Linked DNA regions of Caenorhabditis elegans. The protein of the gene in region 1 purifies or fractionates together with the protein of each later gene. This does not show direct contact. Each region holds a gene or a part of one and is shown in the gene's direction. Other genes may lie near its edges. The genes, in order: jnk-1 and unc-16.

The links.
Region 2: the proteins of jnk-1 (region 1) and unc-16 purify together in Caenorhabditis elegans (affinity purification with western blotting, with the first as the bait; one study listed by BioGRID). This does not show direct contact.

Annotation. Positions count from the first base shown.
Region 1 is NC_003282.8:6,952,013-6,965,683, forward strand, and holds jnk-1 (Stress-activated protein kinase jnk-1), read left to right. Parts: upstream 1-5,628; 5' UTR 5,629-5,664; coding exon 5,665-5,710; intron 5,711-6,970; exon of another isoform or gene 6,971-7,108; intron 7,109-7,355; exon of another isoform or gene 7,356-7,379; intron 7,380-8,196; coding exon 8,197-8,306; intron 8,307-8,714; coding exon 8,715-8,873; intron 8,874-8,920; coding exon 8,921-9,006; intron 9,007-9,129; coding exon 9,130-9,259; intron 9,260-9,308; coding exon 9,309-9,506; intron 9,507-9,784; coding exon 9,785-9,950; intron 9,951-10,110; coding exon 10,111-10,209; intron 10,210-10,257; coding exon 10,258-10,336; intron 10,337-10,393; coding exon 10,394-10,470; intron 10,471-10,513; coding exon 10,514-10,629; exon of another isoform or gene 10,630-11,454; coding exon 11,455-11,580; 3' UTR 11,581-11,707; downstream 11,708-13,671. Other genes in the region: B0478.3 (uncharacterized protein), read right to left, coding at 11,863-11,961, 12,026-12,147, 12,316-12,550; gtnt-54 (Glycosyltransferase family 92 protein ZK381.2), read left to right, coding at 13,538-13,671. UniProt on the Caenorhabditis elegans protein: Serine/threonine-protein kinase which responds to activation by environmental stress by phosphorylating a number of transcription factors such as daf-16, and thus regulates transcriptional activity.
Region 2 is NC_003281.10:9,542,499-9,553,150, forward strand, and holds the start of unc-16 (JNK-interacting protein), read left to right. Parts: upstream 1-3,796; 5' UTR 3,797-3,860; coding exon 3,861-3,926; intron 3,927-4,172; coding exon 4,173-4,301; intron 4,302-4,881; coding exon 4,882-5,161; intron 5,162-5,252; coding exon 5,253-5,433; intron 5,434-5,498; coding exon of another isoform or gene 5,499-5,555; intron 5,556-6,067; coding exon 6,068-6,189; intron 6,190-6,292; coding exon of another isoform or gene 6,293-6,323; intron 6,324-6,673; coding exon 6,674-6,842; intron 6,843-6,915; coding exon 6,916-6,959; intron 6,960-7,148; coding exon of another isoform or gene 7,149-7,184; intron 7,185-7,638; coding exon 7,639-7,737; intron 7,738-7,867; coding exon of another isoform or gene 7,868-7,885; intron 7,886-8,222; coding exon 8,223-8,476; intron 8,477-8,690; coding exon 8,691-8,887; intron 8,888-8,940; coding exon 8,941-9,054; intron 9,055-9,129; coding exon of another isoform or gene 9,130-9,148; exon of another isoform or gene 9,149-10,042; intron 10,043-10,083; coding exon 10,084-10,414; intron 10,415-10,652. Other genes in the region: eif-2Balpha (Translation initiation factor eIF2B subunit alpha), read left to right, coding at 644-758, 811-1,076, 1,140-1,321, 1,381-1,582, 1,631-1,783; ZK1098.9 (uncharacterized protein), read left to right, coding at 1,953-2,094, 2,459-2,580; ZK1098.12 (DUF2975 domain-containing protein), read left to right, coding at 2,744-2,776, 2,827-2,901, 2,945-3,046, 3,095-3,223, 3,272-3,370. UniProt on the Caenorhabditis elegans protein: The JNK-interacting protein (JIP) group of scaffold proteins selectively mediates JNK signaling by aggregating specific components of the MAPK cascade to form a functional JNK signaling module.

The DNA of each region.
Region 1 (13,671 bases):
TGGAGTGCAATACTAATTTTGAGAACATTTTTCTGACTTTGAGCCTACTAGTTTTTCTCTGAAACAAACTCGAATCTTGTGTAAAAATTCAGAAAATTTGATTTTAGTTGTAGCATATACGTTCAAAAACTTCAATCTCGTAGAAATGTTGTAAAAAATTGTTGCAAAATAGGCAAAAAATGTTGTTGAAATCCTGAAATTAGCGAGACGGGTTTGCAATAAAAAAAAGTAAACGCAAGACTATTAGGGAGTGCCATACTAATAGAAGAAATACGGTATTTTTCTTTAATGAATTATTTGTTTTTTTTCAAAATAAATTCTCAATAAACTTATTTTTGACGTCTAGGTAATTATTTTTTGATTTCTGTATAGAAATTTTCAAAGAAATTTTGTAATAGTTCCACGTAGGTACTCAAATGAATTCATCCATGACACTTCAGGCATGCGCAGGAATGAAGAAAGTATTATAATTTTTACTTGATAATTATATTTAGGCCGATAATTTTTAAAAATCTCTGAATGTTGCCCCGAATATCGTAAAGTTTGCCCTTCAAGTTTAAATTGAATAAAGATAAATTCATGTTTTTGTCAAGTAAAATTTTTGAAACAGTAATTTTTTTCTTAAAAAATCTTTTTAACAATTTTTTTTCCTTTTTTTTCCTAAGTCTAGATTTATAAATTTTTATCTTTTTGAGAGATTTTGTGAGGTAGGCACTCAAATGACCGCTTGCCTGGCACTTCCGCAAACTGTCAGAGTAGGCGTGAAGTTAGGCAGCCAGATAGACATATACGTTTTACTTGATAATTTTTATGTAGGCTGCTATTTTTAATAACCTGTGAGGGTTGTCTTCAATATCGTAAATTTGAGCCAACTCGCAACGATCAATTAAAGAGAGATTCATGCGTTTATCAAGTAACCTTTTTGAAACAGTATTTTTATAAATAGTCACTGAATTTTCACTCTGCCTGACACTCGTGCCTACTGTCGCAGTTTTTTTTGTAATTCGCTAAATCAATTTTGTGATTCGCTAAATCTCATCGGGAAATGTTGAGAAATAGGTCGTAGGCAGCAATGTGGGTAGATGTCTGCCTACCATGTAAACCATATTTCTTTTTTATCAAACTTTCACTGCTCCCGAAAAAGTAAAATAATGTGGGGGTTCTGAAAAAGCAAAAGATAAAAAATAACCTCGTCGTTTTTCTTTCGTTTTCTCAGTTTCCGCTTACTTTGTTCACTCAAACTATTTTTTTTCCTATTATACTACTTTTTTTTTCGTTATTTTCAGACACAGATTACAGGAATTTTGTTGAGAATTTGTGGGCAAAAGGGGAGGAGAAAGGAAGTATTTATCTAAAAATGTTCCTTGGCACAGAATTCATAAAACATTCATGACTTAGCAACGAAAAAGAAGTTTGGATGACAACCAGATCCTAGTTTTTTCACTTTTGCACAAATCTGTGTGTGTTTTCGGTCTTTATTTAGTTTTTATTTAGTACCCATTTTTTATCAAATCACTGATTAAAAAACTGTGTTTCTGAAAATTTAAAAACTGACACGATGCCATCCGGGAGCACTCAATGTTGAGCAAACAAGAAGAAAGACGAGAACCCATTATGCACATTCGATTCTCTTTCCCCTTCCCGTTACTCCAAGGCTTCCTGTCCATTCTTCCCACACTCTTCCATTTCCTATCTTGTTGAGAAAACCTTTTTTACATATTTCGCATAATCCAACTGTTTAAAAATTATTTTTATTAGGTGTTTTGAAATGAACTTGGATGGAATACGCGTTTAGTTAATTATTATAAAATTTTACTGTTTCAATTTTGTATTTTTATTAGTAGAATCTATTATTATCTATTAGTTCTATTAGTATTATTAGTAGAATTTTTTCATTAACTTGTTTTACACATTTTAATAATGAAAATAATTCGATAATTCGAAAATTTTCAATTACCGAACATTTTAAGATTCGGCTGTTGCCAAAAGGGCCGATTTCCGAATTATCGAAACATTTCCAAAACATGGAAAGAAAGATAAAACTCTTCAGATTTTTTTTGATTTTTTTTGAGGTGGGGAATAAATTGAATTTTTTCACCGAATTCATTGATTTCATCAAACATTTGCTACAGTAGAAATTCGTTTTTTTGCTCATTTTTTGAGTTTTTTTTTTAAATTGAACTCAATAATTCCCAAAATGCCGATTGTCGAAAATCTTAAAAATTAAGTCATAATAGTAACAATATAATCCAAAATACAATTTAATTATCTTGAAAAATGAGAAATCTTGAATCTAGAAATGATGTCGATAATTTTCCAAAGTAAAGATAGTTTTTAGGAATTTGAAATAATTTGAATGAACTGCGATCATCGATAATTGGCTTCGCTTCTATCTAAGGGCTTTAAAGTTTTTCAATAAAATTTGATTGAAATTTCTCCAATACTTTATTATATGTGTCTTACCATGTATGACCTGATTAGAGCAGAATAAGACAATACAACACTATAATATAGTGATAAACCACCGTTTTGCAGTAATTTTCAAATTTTCTCACAGAATTTTAAACATTTCTGAATATTTCTCTAGATCCCTGAATAATAGATGATTCAAGTAAACCACAAAACCAACCAACGTCATAATTCCCACAGACTCTTTCTACGGAAAAACTTCCATCTCCTGTTTCTCTTTACTTTCAACAAAAAAGTCTGAAAAAGTGAAGCTGTTCAAAAATGCGTCCTCCTGTGCTCACTCCTTTTTTTTCCGAAAAACTTTATTTTTATCTCTCCGTCTCTCTATTTTTCATAATCTTTTCACATTCTCTTTGAATATATAATCCAGTAGTGATGACGAATGGGATGAGAGGAAGAAGGAGAAGAAGTGCCACCCAAAAAGAGGAAACGACGAAAACTTTCTGCTTTTCTCATTTTTTGAATGTCTAAACTTCTTGAAAAGGCGCGAAATTCAAATATCCTTCTTCTTCTTCTTTTTTCCCGCTCTATTCAATTTCAACCTTCTAGCCATTTTTCAAGTACATAGCATGTCAATAGGTGCTTTCCGTGAGTTTTCCGGCTCCCTGAGCACTGAAATCTCTGAGCTTTGAAGCCGTTTCTTCTTTTTTTTTGCCATTGGATTGCTAATCCTGTACCCTTGATAGTCTTCTTCCGATGATAATCTTCTCATGATCCCACTAACTAACTAAATTTTCATGCATATGCATTAGTATAATCGGAATATTTTCCACACACACTTTTCACACTAGTTTTCTCATTTCCGATTTCTCCCTTTGAATGCTCTTCTTTTAGACTTTTATCCATTTGGATACACTTTCGGATCAAAGAATTATTTATTGAATATTCTATCAGGTATCCATCATTATGGAAAACTTATTTGATTTAGCATTATAATAGAATTTAAGAATATTCCCTATCCGTTTAATCGTGTAAAAGTATTTCCCGGATAAAGTTAAATATTGAATTTTAGTGCAATTATAGTAATTACACTTTTAAAATGTTTTTCAAAAAGAAACATAGTCATTTGGCGGCTAGGTTTGAATAATAATTTTACTTTAAAAATCAAATAATCATTCATTCTCTTATGCACCACTAACTTAGAACTGGAAAATTCTTCAGATAACAAAACAGTAGAAGAAAATTCAATGAAACAGGAAAAAATAGTAGATATCGTTATTTTTCAGTGTCCATTTTCAAATGGATGTTGTACTGTTTTAATTTTCAAGTAGCGACATTCACTATGATTGTTTTTCTGGCGTTATCATCGGTTGTTATATTTAATTTTTCATTTTCTTACAAATATAATTGACTATATAATAACTTGAACGTCCATACTTAAAGTTATCTCACCAGTCCAGAAAATAAATCAAGCTATCTTTATAGTTCTGAAATACCAATTTATCAGAGTGAAACTATTCAGAAAAATAGCTATATGAATTTATCTATAAACAAAAATTGGCATTTGTTAAGTTTTCCTATCATAATTTCGGCAACCGAAAAAAAAGTTTTAAAAAAATTAAAACATTCATTACGTTTGTATTTTAACATTTGTGAAGCCTTATTTGAAAAATTGGTCAATCTTCCAAAACTTTGAAATTTTTTTTTTAATCTGATAATTTTAAGCCAAGCGAATAAGTTGAAAACTTTTCATCAAACCTCAAATTTATTTTTGAAAAAGTGCATTTAAAAACCTCTCTTCTTTATTTTAAACCAGTTATACATATGCATAATGTGATTCAAATTGTCGTTCTATACTACCTAAATAAACAAGTATGAATAATTGAATTTGTAAAGAAAAGCACGGTTGCCTAAGAGACGGATCTCATACAAAAAAAATCGAGATACCTATTTTTGCGTGATCATTTTTTTTCATTTTGGTTCATTCAAGTTAGTGAAAATACATTATCATTCAAAATTATTCACCGTTTTGATTTTGCTTCGAAATACCCAAAATTCAGAAATATCACAATATAAAAACAGAAAAAGATGTCTTTTGGTAAGGTTCAAATTAGAGTTCAACTTCTTGTAGAAAGAAAACAAAGAATCGTGTGAAAAAATAAAAATAAATTGAAAATCCGCTGTTTTCATAGCTTTTCCAAAAAAAAGCTTCAGTAAACTTTCAATTTTTTGTTTTGAAAAAAATCGAATGATTTTTCCATTTTTTTGAAGCGCTCCTTAGTTTCAAACATGTCCCGGTTGCCTTCAACCTTGTCCCTCCAATTCTTTCTTTCCCTTCTCCATCATCACATTTTCTAAATTAAATTCCAATTCTTTGCTTGAATCCTTGTCCTCCATCCACAGAAAGGACGAACTTTCAAAGCCTGCGTCTCATTATTCTCAAGTTCTTCTTCTTCTTCTCATCACCAAATCTGCCGCCCATGTGACTGACATGAGAGCCCCAATTGGCTACTCTACTGCATCGGGAATCCTTTTGAGAACTTTGACGACAACTCCCGCTCTTTACACTTTTGAGAATATATTAGGGAGCAAATACTAGAAAAGGTTTAGAAGTCTTAGAAGACTTCGGAAAAGTGGCAAGTGGCTTTAAAATGTTTCACGTAGTCTTTAAAATGTTTCACATATTTATTTAGTTAGTGATTTCCATTTAGTCTTTTGAAAAAAATGGAGAGTTCAGTACATACAGAAGGAAAAGTGATTTTAATAATAACTAAACATAATACAAAGTACAGAAAAAAACCTTTAAACTTAAACCGCCCTGAAATTTTTTAAAAAAAATTACTGCAGAAGTAAGTTTTTAGTGGTGTTTTTAAAATTAATATTGAAATATGTACTTTTTTTCATTTTCTGGAAAACAACAAGTGACCATTTTACGGGAAAATGGAATTCGAGATTTCAACACGAATTCTCAAATTTCAATTTTTCTGCCCTCAATTGCAATGTATTCTAACTGGAAAATAGTTTCCATTTCCTCAACATTTTCATTTTTTCTATTCTTTATTTTGGTGTCCGCAATTTTTTTTCCCTGTTCAGTTTTGTTTTTCTAGAAGCTGGTTAAAATTAATTAATGAGATTCTCGCTAATTTGAACCGTTCTTAAATTAGCCACTATCAGCTTTTTGCAATTTCCACCAATGAATACGTATAATAATATTTTCAGAACCATCAGCAAGTTAAAGTGTGTGATCCTGTGCACATGGAGGAACGATTATCCACAACATCATCGTATCCGTCACATCCAGGTTTGTTTTTAAATTTTTGCAAAATATTATTCTAGCTTCTTTTTTATCTACGAAAGTTAATTGTTTTTTTTGCAAAATTGAAATTTGGGAAAACTGTGTCTTTTTTTAATTAGGAATCAGTTTTTTTAAATTAAGATTTAATCAAATTTAACTCAACAGGGAAATTCTGAAATTTATGACTAAACCAAAAGAAAAGCCTGTAAAACCCGTTAACATCAATAATTGTGGGACTAATAAAATTGAGTAAAGTGGCTGGAAATGTGGGAATTCAAATTAAAAATTACTAGCTCTTTTTTCACATTTTTAAAGGATTTTTTCAGTGTTTTTTACATGCCACTGTAAGTAATATGAACTACATTTTACATGTATTACCTTCTCTTTAATTTAAATATGAACCAATAAAAATTTCAATATAACATTTCAAAATTGTATTAAAAAGTTGAGGTAGCACTAAATTAGCAGCTAGTTCTAGAAAAGCAACAAGAAAGTATAGTTTCTTGACCAAGTTAATAATATACACTTTCTAAATTAGCGGGTCACAAAATTTCCATTTAAAAAATCGCAAAAGTTATTAATATGGGATATCCATTTAAATGCACAATATAATTAATTCAATTTATTTTTAATTGTGGAATTACAGATATGCAACAAATTTTTAAATATCTGAAAAAAATTTTAAAAAATTTTGAATTTAAAAAATTTTTGAATTTTGTACTGATGGTCTTTTGGCTCATTCTGAGTATATTTAGATAGAACAATTGTTTTAGTGAGCAAATAAACAAATTGAGCATTTTCGCTCGTTTAATCGAAATACACTTTTTTGAACTTGCAGCAGAGCGACTCGTACCAAAGTGTTAAAAATTGTATTTCATTCTCAAACGCGACAGTTACTTCTCGAAATCTAGATATTTTTATTTAAAATAAAATTTTGAACTCGTCACAACAAAAGTCTCAAACCCTCGACAATGACGTCACAAAGTCGTGTCTTTTCAGTTCTGTTCCATATGCTTTACGCCTCTTAACTTCTTCTTCCTCTTCTTTTTGTCTTTTCCGTTTCTATTATAATTTATGGTCCCATGGGTACCATATTCTACGTTGGTAGCTTCTCTTCCACAAACATGCTCAACATCTTCCTCTTTCTCTCTCTTTCTATGTTTTTGCTTCTTTTTCTTTCCTCACTTTCATTCACAAATCGAAAAGACGTCCTTCTTGTGCCCCCTTCTACCCCATTCTCAAAGTCTTCTAAACACAAAAATCGATATAGGAAAGGCGCGGCCCCGTTTTGCACAGAATGACGACGGAAAGACGACGGAGACGTAGAGAAGGACCGCCGCCACTGCTCCGGAGAGCTCCGGAGACACACAACCACCACTGAGACCCTCGCAACCAACCCCATCGACTAGTACATCCACCCCAACTTATAGTTTTTTTCTTGTTAAAGTTGTTATTATAAATCACTAGAAGTTGAAAATTATGACAATTTTTTGGTTTTGAAGTGAGGAGAGCTTCTGTGAATCAAGAAGTTAGAGGTTTTTTTTTTGAAAATTTAGCTAAACTGTTTTGATCATAACTTTGCTAGAAAGGACTAATTTAGAATATTTGTCCTTTTGAAACTAGTTGAAAATTTTAAGTTGTCACCAAAAAAAATACCCTTTAGTGCAATACAACAATATCGAGGTCATTATCAGTAGACTTTTGATAATTTTATGAAACAGTTAAATTTTGAAAATAGGTTTGATTCTTGAATATTCCCCTTATTTCTGTTCTAAAAAGTTTTCCGACAAATGAATGTAACACTCTAACGAGTAGTACCCTCTTCATCTTTAATTTCCGTGTTTCTTCCTTTTCTGACCTAAATAATCCTTTCCGCTTTTCCACCCCGACCATCTTATGTTCCCTTCAGAGCCCTCTTTTCCCTTAGCCCCAATATAACCTCATCAGTGAAATTGTGTTCTTTCTAACTCTGCGTCTTCCTTCCATCTTGTGTATTTTCTCTAAATTTTGTCTCTGCTCCAAATTGGACAGAAAAAGACATCCAAACGGACAGCAAAAAAAAAGAGTCGAAAAGTGCATTGTGTGTGCTGAATGTGAAAAAGACACCAAAAAATGGATAAATAGTCTCCATTTATTTATACATTTCTTTTGAAGCTAGCAAAGAGTCTGGGTTTTTTGAAAAAAAAAAGATTTCTGGATTGGTTTTTGGGTAAATACATAGATCCCGTTAATATGCGGCTGAGTTAATTAGATTTTTAGTAATGCATCTAATATCACATTTTTCTCTGTTTCAAATATTTTATTTTCCAAATATTTTTTTCAACAAATTGCTTTCTTTCAAATCATAATTTTGATAGTGAAAGTCTAAATTTAATACCAAAATAATTGTTTGTGTTCGAGTATTTTTGAGGAAATCGTTTTTGTATCCTTCGAGAAGTTTCTACATTTCACTGTTTTCACTGTAATGGCATTTAAATTTATCCGATTTTCAGGTAGAAGCGTGGAAGAGGATCACAACACTCTGCTCGCATCCTCCTCGATATCATCAATCATTCGAGGAACCCGTGGACACCTCAACAATTTTATCGAGTCCGTTGGGAATGTGAGTTTAAGTTTGAGTTGACTAAAACTCAAAAGCATGAAATTGAAATTTTGTCTTTTAAAAATGGGCACTACCACTGATGTTTTATAAGCCGTATTTTCTATTTTAGAGACACTTGAGTTTGCAAATTTATCAGCTCATAGTTCAAATTATCATTAGTTTCGTTAAATTTTTATGAAATTTTTTGAAAATATATGAACATTACTGGCAGAATTGACAAAATTCAAGAAAAGTCCTTGAAACAGAGAAATTTTGTTCACAAAACACGAACTGAGGCGAAGTTGCTTACGGTTTCAGAAAACTTCGCAACTGTTTTATCAAATGTTGATGGTCACTCAATAGTCAGAAATAACAGTTTTTAAAACAAAATCATCAATATCTAACTATATCTTTATTCCCTATTTTCAGTGGCTGGTTCCATCATCATCTGGTCGAGACGACGACGCTGTCTCTTTGGATAGTTGCCAATCAGTGTACAGTCCTGTTCGTCATCACATAAACAGTGGAACAGGAGGAGGAATTCTCATGGAACCATCCTCTATTCATGTTCCCGAAAACTATTATTCGGTGAGTACAATTTTAACAGTTTGGTTGAAGATCTCGATATGTTTCAGGTGACAATAGGGGAAGCGCAGATGGTTGTTCTCAAACGATATCAAAATCTCAGGTTGATCGGGTCTGGTGCTCAGGGAATTGTTTGGTGAGTAATTTTGTTGTTGGTATAATGGGAAAGCGATTTTGAAGAGACAAAAATTTTCTCGATTCTATATTGTTTGGTTAAAAAATCTCAACTATGCTGGAAATCAAATTTATTATTTTTCAGCTCAGCGTTTGATACGGTACGGAACGAACAAGTTGCCATAAAGAAATTATCAAGGCCATTTCAAAATGTGACACATGCAAAGAGGGCTTATCGAGAATTAAAACTCATGAGTCTTGTAAATCATAAAAATGTGAGTTTTTTCAAGATTTTACGTTGGACTTCAATTCCTCATTTTTCAGATCATAGGTATTCTGAATTGTTTTACACCACAAAAGAAACTCGACGAATTCAACGATCTTTATATTGTTATGGAACTTATGGATGCAAATCTTTGTCAAGTGATTCAAATGGATTTGGATCATGAGAGATTATCATATCTTCTTTATCAAATGTTATGTGGTATCAGGCATTTACATAGTGCTGGAATTATACACAGGGTGAGACTGACAGAAAAAAGAATATCTAGGCGACTTATAATCGCCTTGTGCCTACTTCCAAGGCACAAGTTGCGAAAAATCGGAACATGGCTTCTTTTTTGTGGAGCAAAAGTTTTTGTGCCCATTATTATTTTTACTAAAAAAATTCAGAGGAGCATTTTAGTAGGCAAGCTCTCAGGCAGATAGGCATATAAAAAATTTATGCTACCGATTATTCTGAACCGGGTTGTCCCTCTGAGATTTTTTTTTCCAAATATTTATTCTACAAATTGTTACAGGATTTGAAACCATCAAACATTGTCGTTCGAAGTGATTGTACTCTAAAAATCTTGGATTTCGGATTGGCTCGAACTGCGATTGAGGCATTCATGATGACTCCTTACGTTGTGACAAGATACTATCGGGCACCGGAAGTTATTTTAGGAATGGGTTACAAGGAAAATGGTAAGATTTTTGAGTTAAAGTGATGAACACCAATATTAAATCGGAGCACACATTTTTTCAGTTTTTTCTAGTTTTAAAAATAGAAGAATAATCGTTATTCATTTTCAAATTCTTTAAGCAATTTAACAAAGTTATATTTTTCAAACAAAATATTTTTCAGTTGATGTTTGGTCAATTGGGTGTATATTTGGAGAGCTGATACGTGGACGTGTACTATTCCCGGGTGGTGACCATATCGATCAGTGGACTAGGATTATTGGTAATTTTGAAAATGATTAAAACGAACTGCCAACATTTCCGAATTCAGAACAATTGGGTACTCCGGATAGGTCATTTTTAGAACGGTTACAACCAACTGTCAGAAATTATGTGGAAAATCGGCCAAGGTATGAATTAAAATATTTTACTAATACAATGAACTCGATTAAAATAAAATAATTCAGATATCAAGCAACGCCGTTTGAAGTTCTCTTCAGTGATAACATGTTCCCAATGACAGCTGACAGCTCAAGACTTACAGGTATGCTTTAACAGAATAATTTCAAAAATTAAACATTTTCTAGGTGCTCAAGCTCGTGACTTACTTTCTCGAATGTTAGTCATAGATCCGGAAAGAAGGATTTCTGTGGATGATGCACTGAGACATCCATATGTCAATGTTTGGTTTGATGAAATTGAAGTAAGATTTTTTCCTATTACACAACACAAAATATACAGTTAAATATGAATGACTTTTCAAAAACCGAAATCCTATTTTTTGCGTGGAAGAAAAACTCTAAAATCCGGACTCCGGATGGCCAGCCCTAATAAAATTTGAATAATGTTGCTGAATCAATTTCAAAATAAAACATATGTTAATTGAGATTTTGAAACAGTGATAATTTTTCACTTTCGTTTATTTTTATTTTGTTGAAAACAAATAAAGGTTATATTGCGGTAACCTTATTAAAAACAGCTTAAAATTTGTATCTTTTTCCGATATCTGTACAGAATTTATATTATTAAAAAGGTCGAGTGAGGAGTCTACTAAGGGTCACACGTCAATTTCAACCGGGTCGAACGTCCAATATTGAATTTGAGCATAATAATAATATCTACTAATTATTCAATGTTTTCGCTAAATTAGTGATGGGACAAACAATTGCAACGAAAAATACAATATACATCTTAGCTTTGAAACAGTAATTTTTTTTTTCTTGTTAAATATGTTTTTTTGTTATTTTCTGTTTGAAGCTTGAAAATAACACGAAGCATATTTGGTAAGAAAAAATTTACTGTTTCAAAGCTAAGATGTAAGCATATCGTATTTTCTTTACAATTGTTTACCCGACATCTTTTGAGAATAAATGAAATTATTAATAACGCAGTATTAAAAAAGAACAGCATATAATTCACATTCTCAAGAACCATAAATTGCGAATGAAGATACGCCAGCCACAGCCGTATGTAATATCGAATTCGAAAAGAATTATAATATTATTAACTCATATTCATATGTTTTCAGGTATATGCTCCACCTCCACTTCCGTATGATCATAATATGGATGTGGAACAGAACGTGGATTCATGGAGAGAGCACATTTTCCGAGAGCTCACAGATTACGCAAGAACCCATGACATTTATTCCTGATTCCATGTTTTACGGTCACATTTCGATCTCTATGTTTTTTCATTCGCGTAATTGTTTTCAAATGTCTCCTTTTCTGTGCTCATATTTCTATTTAAAAAAAAGATAATAAATTGTTTGAAAGTTGAAAAAAAAACAGATTTATGTACATTATGACTTTGGCAACTTCAACCGCCTACAATGCGGGCATTTAAATTGATTTTGAAAATTGAAATCACATTGTTTTCAAAAATAAAAGTGATCATCTTGACAATGGATACTAACAAATGTTGATTTTTTTAAAATTTAATTTATAGTGGGAGATACTGGTTCTAGTCCTCCCAAGGTGTTATACGCAGTCTCTCCAAAAAGTCGAACAGCTGCACAGAATCCGGCAGCATCCACCTGAAACATGGGATTACTTTTCAATATGAAAAAAAAACAAATTTTAATTAAAAAAAAAACTCACTGCGCAAAGATTCTTTTCTGTGGCCGTACTTAGACATAGACAAAATTCATTATCGCAAAAATCTTTACCAATTTGAGTGTTGTAGCAGTTGTCGTGGGTTTCACAGCAGACGTTCATTGGATCTGAAAATTTAATTTTCGAAGATGATAAAAATCTTGAAACTATCTTCAAAAATTTTCAGTAATGTTTTAATTTTTTTCAATAAAAAACTGTTTCATAAAAGTCAGAAACGTTTAGTAGTTAGTTGAGATAAGTTCAATAAACAAAAACATAATTATTAAAAATCATACCTCTCAAATTTTTACACTCGGTGCTGTTAAACAATTGTGGAATAAATTCCGTGAACCGATTGGCACCGCAACTAAAATTGCTAGCCGGAATTGTATTATTCATGGTTGCCAAAGTTACACCAGTATCTCCAATACTAATAGTTTGTTGACAGAAAACACAGATTTTGAATGCAATAAGAGAAGTGACAAGAATGTAGATCAGGAAATTTGAACTTCCTTGGAATTTTGCGTTCATTATTTGACCGATGAGTCCAACTTTCAAACAGAAACCAATGAGTTTTTGATTTCAAAAGTTAGACATTTTGTGTTTTGAATTATCGTATTTATAGAGAGGAAGTGTTGGTTGATCCTTGATTACTATATTTTGTCGGTCTCCTCTTTCTATAGATCATATAATCCCACAGATTTCAGTTATTATTACAACTTTCTCTAACATGTGTCTAAATCCTCACCAATGTTACACAAATGACTGTACTGTATTTGAGTGACCACTAATCACTTTTTCATGTGATTTTTGAAAAAAAATGTAAATCAAAATTTCATATTTTAGTTGTTACTCATGGTCTGCGAAAAAATGCATCTTGAAACAATTATATTCTTCTTTTTGTGAGAGTGCACAAGGAAGACTTTCGAAACAATGAAAGACAAGAAAGATACCTATCTTTCATGGATATTCTGGAAAAAAGATTTCGGAGATTTTGATCTATGGAAATGGAGTTGGATGGAGAAGAATTGAAATGAAAAGGTTGCAGAACATCTAAGTTGATTATTTGAAAAGTTAATACATAGTAGAAGTTTTTTGTATAGTACATATGAAGCAAAATTTGAAGAATAAAAACAAAATCGCTAAATTTTTCGAATTTCAACCGTAGAATGTAATTTGAGTTTTTAAAAGTATGAACGCATGGCTTCAAGAAAAGGAACTTAAACTAGAAATTAATTTATGACCTTTTAAGTTTAATTGATATGCATCGAGACTCGCAACGAAGATCTTATACTAATCGAGGAGTATCACTGAAGTTCGTGCAAAACTTATTCAAAATTCAGGAAACATCTCGTATTTCCAACTTCAATTTCCATTCAGCACTTTCGGAAAGAACAGGAAAAGGTGAATATCAAGATAAACATCCGCGTTTAGAACATTTGCTTGACGGCTTGTCTCTCTCAATTTTTTTTTGAAATTCGTTCAGTTTATTCTAAATTGAAATTTTATGGTATAAAAATGAGATGGTTCATAAACTATAAGCCATGTCTATTAATCATTTTAATATTCAATTCAGTTATTCTACTTTTTATTTTGATAAGGAAGAGTAGTCAACCATTTTCAAATATTTTAACGGATCCATCAGGAACATC
Region 2 (10,652 bases), on another chromosome or scaffold:
CCCAAAAACCGAAAGAACAACAGAAAAGCGTTGTGGATTATTCGATATCCAGCACTTTTTGCACAAATTGAGGCAAAAATAATGGAAAAAGAACCAAGAAATCAATGAACAAAATGGAAAATGAATTTTTAAAAAATTGTCGATGGTATTTAAGATGTGCAGGTTAGCGAATAGTACTGTATCACGGCGGCGATTCAAATGATCTACGAAGCAATTACACGAGGAAAATTAATGGAGATTATGGAGCAAATTGAGGGAATTAATTATAGTATAAAAGTTTCGAAAAGGAAAATTATTATTTATTATCCTATTTAGTTCGCCACACAATGGGAGATTTTAGATGCGTAAATAGTTGAGAGTAGAAAGTAAACTGACTGACTCAAAAAATATGTTTAAAATGTTTATTCGAGATTGAGAAAATAAATTAAATTTCACGAAACCTTTTAAATACATAAGTAAAAAAATGTTTTGTTTTTAAATTTGCCACTATCAAAACTGTCTAACTCTCTAACTCTTATCTTCTCTGCGTAACGATAGAGCGCGTTTACATCATTATTTTTTCATTAAATTTTTTCTATAAATATTTCTTCTTTCTACGACAAACGTTCTCCATTATTGTTTTTGCAGACTTTTTCCATCTAACATGGTTCAAGAAAGCATTATTTCATCTTTCCGTGGAAAACTTGAAAACGATCCAAGCAAATCAACGAGTCTAGCCACAGTGGAAACACTGCTCGAGGTTTTAGACCGGAGTCGCGGTAAGTTCCTGAATTTGAATATTTAGGCAATTAATTTTTTGCTTAATTACAGCCACCACCGTTGCCGAATTTCAAAATGAGCTAAATCAAGTAGTTGCTGCTCTCGAGAAAACGGACTACAGCTCAACATCAATTCGAAGTGCCGCTGATTTGTTCACCAGATTCACTTCTCTGGCTCCAGCTGCTCTTCTCGATCAAGAAGATTTTTCTCAAGTTCTTGATCTGTATCGCCAACGAGCACGCTCATTTATAAAGAATGTCAGAGGTTCTCGAGCCAAAATTTCCAAGTGCGCTCGTCTATTTTTCACTCATCATATGGTACGTTTTTTTTTCTATTTAAATAATTCCTATTTAATGTATTTTAATCTTTGTATTTTCTAGAATATTCTGACACACTCATACAGCAAAGTGGTTCTGGAAACTATTCTTGATGCTCACAAAAGTGGATATCACCTTCATGTCTGGGTCACCGAATCGCAACCGGATGCTTCAGGAAAACTAGTGTTTGAAGAATTGAAAAAGAATGGAGTTCCAACTACTTTAGTTCTAGATAGCTGTGTGGGGTGAGTGGAAATTATAAAAAACAATAAGAAAAACGTATATACATTTTTTATTTTTTAAGATATGTCATGGAAAGAATTCAAGCAGTTCTAGTTGGCGCTGAAGGAGTCATGGAAACCGGTGGAATCATCAATAAAATTGGAACTGTTAATGTTTGTATCATCGCAAAATCACGGCATGTTCCCGTCTATGTTTGCGCTGAAACTATCAAGTTTGTACGGGAGTTCCCACTCAACCAGGCCGATATTCCCCAAGAATTCAAAGTAATCAATTTATATCAAATAACTCAATCAGATCTTTCATTATTTCAGTATCGAACATCAGTAATTGAGAGAAACAACCTAGAATTGGAGCATCCCGATGTGGATTACACCGCACCCGAATTTCTGACACTGATCATTACTGATGTCGGCGCAATGAAGCCTGAAGCTGTTGGAGAAGAACTCATTAAAATGTATATCTGAGGGTAGAAATTTATTTGAACGTGTATTTAATTCAATCAAATTAAATTAATTTGTTCTTGTTTTGTTTTTTATAATTATGATTGGTTTTTTTCTTTTACAAAAATAAAAAATAACGTGGAACCCAAAACTATTCATTTCGAGTTTTTAAAAACGCTCATTCATCAAAAAGATGAGTGAAAAGCACTTTATTTTGCCATCTAGCATGCTAATGATAGTTTCGGCTGTCTTCGGAGGTATCGGAATCATCACTACAATCGTGTTCGTGATTCTGACAGTTCTTCATTCAAAAAGTGCGGTTTGTAAACCTGCAGGTTAGTTTTTGTTGCGAAATTGTGCAATTTTTACCCAGAAAGTACGGTTCCCGGTCTCGACGCTACAATTGTTAAATTCTGAAAGGTGTGTGCCTTTAAAGTGTACTGTACTTCGAATTTTTAGACTTTTATTAGTTTTTCGATATTTAAATATTTATTTATTTATCTGAAACTATGAAAAATCGATGCAAATTCCATAACAACGAAAATCTGAAATTACAGTACTCTTTAAAGGCGCACACCTCTTTGGATCTATCAAAAACTTTGCCGTATCGAGACCGGGTATCGTATTAGCATGACGAAAATCGCAAAATTATCTGGATAATATAGTAATGCTGAAGAATAAAAATTTGCACATTTTCAGGCAAAGAAGACATGAAAAAACTGAACGGTATCGAAGGAATGCAAACGATCAAAGAAGAATGTGGAGGATCAACTGAAACATCCTCGTCGAAACCGAAGAAAAAAGCCAAGAAAGAAGTCTGATTTTTTTTTTTTGAATAAATTTTAAATTTCTTCGTGAAGACCTTTTCTACGTTCTTTTAATTTATAAAATAGACAACACTTTTAACTTGATTTCCTACTCATTTCGTTAAATTCAAATCTAGCAAAAGGGTTATACGGTTACAAATCTTTGTAAAGTAGAAATATGCTTTTGAACAAACTCATTGTGGCAAATATTGTGAGTTTCTAGTTTTCAGCAGATTATTTGGGAATCTTCTTGGTTTTCAGATGATTAGTGTGACTGTTCTACTCCAGGGAACTATTCCAATGGGGTACGTATCTGGACTCGCGTCATTTTGGATGGTAAATTCTCATCTTAAAGACGTTCCTAACTCTACGTTTTCAGCTCTCAGCAGGTAGCGTTTTCCTCGTACTCGCAGTCATCACATTCATCGCTCTGTTGTTTTTGAGTCGATCTAAATGCATGTTGGCAATGAGCCAAAGAAAAGTAATTCCTAGTTTTAGAAAGTTATTTTACATTCTACAAAAATTTCAGTTGGCCATCTATCATGCTCCAGCACCAGTCACATCGTTGCTTTCGCTCATCTTCTTCATCGTGTACACATTCAGTGCCAAAGCTCCCCACGAGCATACAGCAATTAAAAACTGCATTGTGCTTCTGGATGTAAATTATATTAATCGACATGATTTTCTCTTTAATCCAACAATTCAGGTCGGAGTGGGAATTGTTCTGATGATTTCTCTGGTGCAAGTGCTTCTAGCGTTCCTGAGCCACCCGGAATATCCTGAGGAAGATAATGATGAACGTTGATTTATTTCGTAATAAACTGATTCTTTCGTATTTGTTTTTTCATTGTTTTAACACATGTTGTCACACTAAATTCGTGGTTTTGACGCAAAAATAGCCTAAGAAACACATAATTTTGATAGAGTTTATATAAAAATTCGTAATAGCGGCGCAAATTGAAATTCTATTCATGCAAAACTTCTAATGAAGTGTTTTTATTCTGAATTCAATAGAAAAATAAATTCTGAAGCGCAAAACGGCAAAACCCACTCGACATGCGTGTAGTGCGTGACGCACAAAACGCTCCTCTTCCGCCAATTACCGTATTCTCTCATCCACGAGATTCACACATGCGCCCAGCCTTCTTTTATTGATTTTCTGTCGCCGCGGCGAAGGAGTGGCACTTTATTTACATAGCTTTTTTCATTGCAAAGCACAAAAGCAACATAATTTGTAGAATTGTCTCGTCAACTTGCTCTCACATGGACCAATAATCGACAGAACGACTGAAAAAATGGCTTGCAATTTGTCACCGGTGAATGAGATGGCAGACTCAATTACGAGCAGCACACCGTCTGAGGTAAGTGGTGGCAAATGAACCATTGTTGCAACCGAGTGGCAGCAGCAGCGTCTCCCGATAGTTATCTCGGTTCTCTTATCGTCGCCCCCTACTACTATTCCTCGGCCAGTAAATACCGTTATGTTTCTCTTCCGCACTTCTCTCTTCATTATTGATTGTCGCTAGACACAACAAAACAGTTGGGACGGGTAATAGGAGGATTTTTTTATGCTGCATTCGATATTGATGGGAGAAATGTTATCTCAGATTGTGTACGGCGGCCCCGGCTCACCAGATGAGCATCGAACAATGTCGGATAAAGTGCAGACAATGGCTTCGGCAATTTATCGAGAGTTGGAAACAATGATAAAAGTTCACGGAGAAGATGGCGTGAAAGTGAGTTTTTTCGGAATTTTACTTTAAAATTTATTTAAATGGCTGTTTTCGCAAAAAATGTCCCAAAACAACCGGATTTCATAATAAGACTGATGGTTTTGAAAAAAAAAACGCTTTCTTTCTTCTGAAATCTTCAATTTTGCCAACTTTTCCGTGTCGCAACGGCCGGAAATGAATTTTTATTGAGCATCATTTCGATCTTGCTTATTTTTAGTTGCCTATCGCTTCAAATGTACCAAACTCAACGAAGTAACACGAGATAAACGACAAAATAAGCGAAAATCGAATGAAAATAAATTTCCGACCGCTGTGGCACGGAAAAATATGCAAAATTGTAGATTTTAGCTCATAGTTAAATATTTTTCAAAACATAGAATCGTCATAATTAATTGAAGAACTTTTAAATGATATTTTTACGAAATTCGGACTTTTTAGACCATTTTTTGATCAGAAATTGAAATTCTATGTTTTTACTCTACTTCAATACTAAATTCAGTATGTTAAACCAGTCAGCAGGTAAATTTATGCTAATTTTCTTCTCTCTTTCTCTATTATCATTCAATAAACTAAACATTTTCAGACTCTGATGCCATTGGTTGTAAATGTGCTCGAAGCATTGGATCTTGCCTATTTGGAACGTGACGAGCAGACTGCAGAACTTGAAATGCTCAAAGAGGACAATGAACAGCTTCAGACACAATATGAACGTGAAAAAGCACTTCGAAAGCAGACAGAACAGAAATATATTGAAATAGAAGACACGTTGATTGGTCAGAATAAAGAGTTGGACAAAAAGATAGAGTCACTTGAATCAATAATGAGGATGCTCGAGTTGAAAGCCAAAAATGCCACTGATCACGGTTAGTTTGTTACAGTTAGTTAATTGTCACCTCAATTATTAACTCTTGTGTTTTTCTTGGATAAATTTTTAAAAAAAGTATTATTTTTCAGCCAGTCGTCTGGAAGAACGTGAAGTGGAACAAAAGCTCGAATTCGATCGTCTCCACGAACGATATAATACTCTATTACGAACCCATGTAGATCACATGGAACGTACAAAATATCTAATGGGAAGTGAAAAATTCGAATTAATGCAGAATATGCCATTGCCAAATATGCAACTTCGAAACAAGTAAGTTTAATTTAATTAAATTTAAAAAAGTGATTAATATTTGACTGTTGTGTCGTTGTTTGTAGTTGGTTTCCAATATCACATCGCTTACATAAGAGTGGTGATCAAAGTAATTTGTCATTGTGAGTTTTGTGTCTGGAATTTTTGTTATTTTTCGGGAAGGTTTTTTTATTTTTCAAATTTTTGATTTTTTTTCGATTTGGTTATCCTCCACTTCACTCCAAATTTTGAAGCGCATGAAGAAATAAAAATCACCAATTTTTTTGAATTTATTTTATTTTCTTGATTTTCCAAATTTTTTATCACTGCTCTAAATGTCAGAAAAGAGATCATAATTACTGTTTAAAAAAATTTTCTAAATTTTTATGTTTTCTCCAATTTTGCAAAAAATGCGATATTTGTTGTTAAATTCCCGCAAACGATATAGATCTTTGAAAATGCTTCAATTATATTTATTGTTTAAAAAAATTGTATAAATTCGCTCATTACGATATACAATTTAAAGCAAAATTCCCAATTTTATCATTTTCCAAAAAGAATTTTGTTAGGCAAACACTTCTTCCACCTTTAATAACTTGGTTCGGTCCCCTAAAATCAAAATTTTAATTTTTAAAAGATATTATTTAAATTACAGAATGGGCATGGCTGCTTCTGTGGATGCATCATCAATTCGTGGAGTATCTGATCTTATTTCTGCTCATATGACACAATCAACCACGATGGATGTTAATCTTGCAAATCACATCACAAACGAAGGTGAGTTTTTTACGCGACCCTTCACAAATATGTAAAAATACAAAAAATTCTATATATCGCAAAATTTAGTTTATTTATTTATTTCCGATAATTTTTAACTAACATGAACTCGAATCCTCAACTAACCTTTATTGGTATGCCAGTTTTCTTCCGATTTCCATGCTGCAAAGGTGCGGCACGGGTTTTCGCAACCGCCGCGCGTTTTTTTAAAACTTTTTTTAACAGGAAATTTCCAACGGATTTTTTTCTGTAAATTCACTTATTTTCCAACTGCATTGGTTTATTGCTCAATTTTTAGACCTTTTTGGCTTAAATAAACCAGTTCAGTTGGAAAGAAATTTTAAATTTCCCATTAAAAAACCATTTTTAATTGTATTCCGTACGATGTTTCCTGTTGAAAAGTGAAAAAAAACCCGCTCCGCACCTTTTCTCAATGGAAATTGCAACCCTCATTCTTTTAAATCTTAAAATACTAATTTTCCAGACTGGCAAGACGAATTCTCATCAGATATCGAACCATCACCCAGGGATATTCCACAATCATCTGCTGATGCGTTGACTTCACCAATTACAACCAAAGAGCCGACTCCTAAACGAGAAGCTGCTTCACCGAAACAATCAGAAGAGGAAGAAGCTGACGAGACAACTTCTGTGTAAGTTAATTATGATTTTAAAATTTTATTAGGAATTTATATAAGAGTTTTGAAATCTATTCCAATTTTTCAGAGATCCCAAGGAAAATAACGATTTGCTCGGTGCTGATCTCACAGGTTGGTTTTTTTGTATTTAATAATTAAAAATCAAGTGAAATCGTCTAATTTATCTATTGTCCATCACTAATTAGAGTGTGTCGTTTCATTTTTTTTCACACTAACCTAATTTCTTCTTCAAATCACACAAACACGGGGACTTTTTTTCATTTTTGACAATTTATCGATTATCCACACATAATTTGACAGGAAATCTAGTGGATCCAGCAGAGTTCGCCTCAGCGGGTAAATTTTTAAGTTTTCAATGTTGTATTGGTCCTTGTGGTCCTTGTTCTTGCTTGCTTTCGGCCAGCTTTTGTCCGGTATTTCACCACACTGAAGTCTACAATGCATGCATTTTTTCACTTTCCCCGTGCACCTTTTATATAGATTATGTTGTAGAGAAAACACGTGAAAGCTTTTTCAAAATCTCGGTACCCTCTAAAGACACAGTAAGTGTGTACACACAATATTTAAAAATTAGGTCACACCCATAAAATGGTTTTGCCTCTCATCTTATCTGAGCTCACTGCTAGCGTGAGAGGCGGAACCCGGTAGATGTCGGACCTTGGGCGTGGCGTGATTTTTGAAATTTCTGAATGTCTATCAACTTAGTCGCTATTCCCTCAAAATTTTGGTTTCAACCTAAAAACTAGATGTTGTATTGTATTTACTTGATGTGCCTTTTGTGTTTTGTCAGATGACGAATCGGATTGGAATGGTCTTGGATTAATACCACGAAGACATCGACCAAATGAAATGCTCGACGATGATGACACTTCGGACGATGGAAGTTTGGGTAGGGAACACACGTAGTTTGGAGCATGTGCATGAGCGCTGGCCATTTTTTTTTGAGTTTTGCATAATCGATTCTATATATATCTCCATCTCTCTCTCTTTTTTTGATTTAACATTCTCTATTTTTACAGTTAACGACACGTTCATTGGTAAGTTAAAGCAAAAACAATGTCGTGATTGTGTTTTGAAGCACTTGTTTTATATTAAAAAGTTTAAAATTGAAATTAAAATTAAACTCACATATATTTATGTTTCACTCAATTGGTTTCGTCACTATTTTTTCCGAAATTTATTCCGTTTCATCACAGAGACATTAAAAAACAGCATGCAATTGATAGTTTATGAGAATCTTCCTCGCTATTAATTCAGAATATTTATTAAATTTATTAATTAGTATATATTTAAACTCGAAGATTTTCATGCAAGCGCTTACCCTGTGTTATCGAATGACTTTCCAACACGATTTTTCAACTTTTATTCTTTAAGGAATGGGCCGTGAAGTCGAGAACCTGATCAAGGAGAATTCCGAGCTTCTCGATATGAAAAACGCGTTGAACATTGTCAAGAACGATCTTATAAATCAAGTCGATGAGCTGAACAGTGAGAATATGATTCTGAGAGATGAGAATCTGAGCCGACAAATGGTCAGTGAGAAGATGCAGGAGCAAATTACGAAGCATGAGGAGGAGATTAAGACGCTCAAGCAGAAGCTTATGGAGAAGGAAAATGAACAAGAAGAGGTTTGATTTTTTAAAATTTAGAAGTAAAAAATATATTTTGCTTCAAAAATTCCAAAAAGAGTGCCCTAGATTCCAAAATACCACTAAAAATCAAAAAATCGAGGAAGATTGAAAAATCTAATTTTTTAAAGTTTATCCACAATTCATTTGAACAAATCTCTTTTTAAAAGTGGGATTTTTGATTGTTTCTGAATTTTTTAAAAAATGCTTTCAGGATGATGTTCCAATGGCAATGCGAAAACGATTCACTCGTTCAGAAATGCAGCGTGTTCTTATGGATCGAAATGCATACAAAGAAAAGCTTATGGAACTCGAAGAGTCTATCAAGTGGACTGAAATGCAACGAGCAAAGAAGATGCAACAACAGCAGCAGAATGTGAATCAGAAGAAATCTGGCGGAATTTGGGAATTGTTAGCTAATTTATCGCCGATTCGTGCTTCTTGATCCTTTTCTCTTTTTACAGTTTCTCAAGTCTCCTGGGTGATTCAGTGACCCCACCCGCATCGTCGCGGGGAAATCGTGCAAGCTCATCGCGCGGCAAGATGACTCGCTCTGTGGAGTATATCGACCCAGACATGTTAGTTGTTGAAGAGTAGAGATTATTTTTTGTTGGGCACGTAGTATGAATGGTGTTGTTTTTTCTTTTTTCTAGGATTCATCTCTCCCGGTAACACCCTCTCATCCTGTGATGCTTCGAAGACCAATCTGTTGAACTCTCTATCTCTCTCTAAATAGAACTTATAATTGCACTCACTCAACACCTAGATTCATAATGAACGCACTTATAAACAGCTTTAACTATACATAAAATCAACAAACATTTGGAATCCGATCATTTTATGCACCCGCATTTTCCCAGAGACTTGGTTTGATCTTTTTTTGAAACTAACCTTTTTAAGTTGCGTTACAAAATAATATTTATTATGGGTACGTAGAAAAAGAGCCTTTGGAAATCGGTGTGGAAACGCGCTCCATGGTCATTAGAAACGCTCCGCCCATAATTAATGGGTCTCATTAGGTGACTTTTTTAACTAGATTTTCCAATTATCGAGCATTTCCGACTTTTTAAAAATAATGTTTTCGTTGTTTTTCATGATTTTTGAATATCTAAAAATTGGTGAAATAAAATTCATAAACATGTACAAAAATAATATTACAAAAAGTTGGAAATCCTTGAAAATTGGCGAAATTGTCGTCAAAAACCCAATGAGACCCATGGTTCGGAGGCGGAGCGTTTTAAATTGACCGTGGAACGCGTTTTCATGTAGATTTCAAAATACATTTTTTACGCCCCCATAATAGAATTTTGCTGACTTTCAACTAATTCTGAAAACAATTCCCTAAGTTGACGCAACTCCAGAATCTTATGAAATTCTCTAGAATTTATTATCTTCGTTTTTAGTTCTTATTTTCTATTTAATTGCTTGTAAAATGTTTCCACGGGTTTAACTTTCCCATTCATTCTCATAATGCATGCCTTTTCCCAATCCATTTATATTGTGTTGTGATGTGTTGTAAATATCCAAATGAATCTTTCATAGTTGGATGATAAAGAATTTTTGATTTTATTGTTCGATCGATTTATCAATCGAGAAAAGTATTTCAGGATTTCGGAGAGACGTGCTGCCGAGAGAAGAGAGCAGTACAAATTGGTACGTGAACATGTGAAAAAGGAAGATGGTCGAATTGAAGCATATGGATGGTCACTTCCGAATGTTGAAGCTGAAGTATCATCTGTTCCGATTCCTGTCTGTTGTCGTCCACTTCTCGATAACGAACCATCTTTGAAAATATGGTGTGCCACTGGAGTTGTTCTGAGAGGTGGAAGAGATGAAAGAGGGCAATGGATTGTTGGAGATCCGATTTATTTCGCTCCGGCTTCGATGAAAAAGACGAAGACTTCTAATCATAGACCGGAGTTAGAAGATGAAATTAAGGTGAGTCTTGTTGATTATTTAAAAATTTATATATTACAGTAGTCCTATAGTAACCTAGATTAATTCTACAGTAACCCACACCATATCCTTCCACCAAACTTAAACCAATATCCCTTCAGAAGACGAAAGGTCTTTTTTTTCCAAATCTACAGTAATCCTACAGTACCTCTACAGTACTACTACAGTAACCCCGCACGAACCCCTACTCCATAACTCTTCAAAAGCTAAAACCATATTT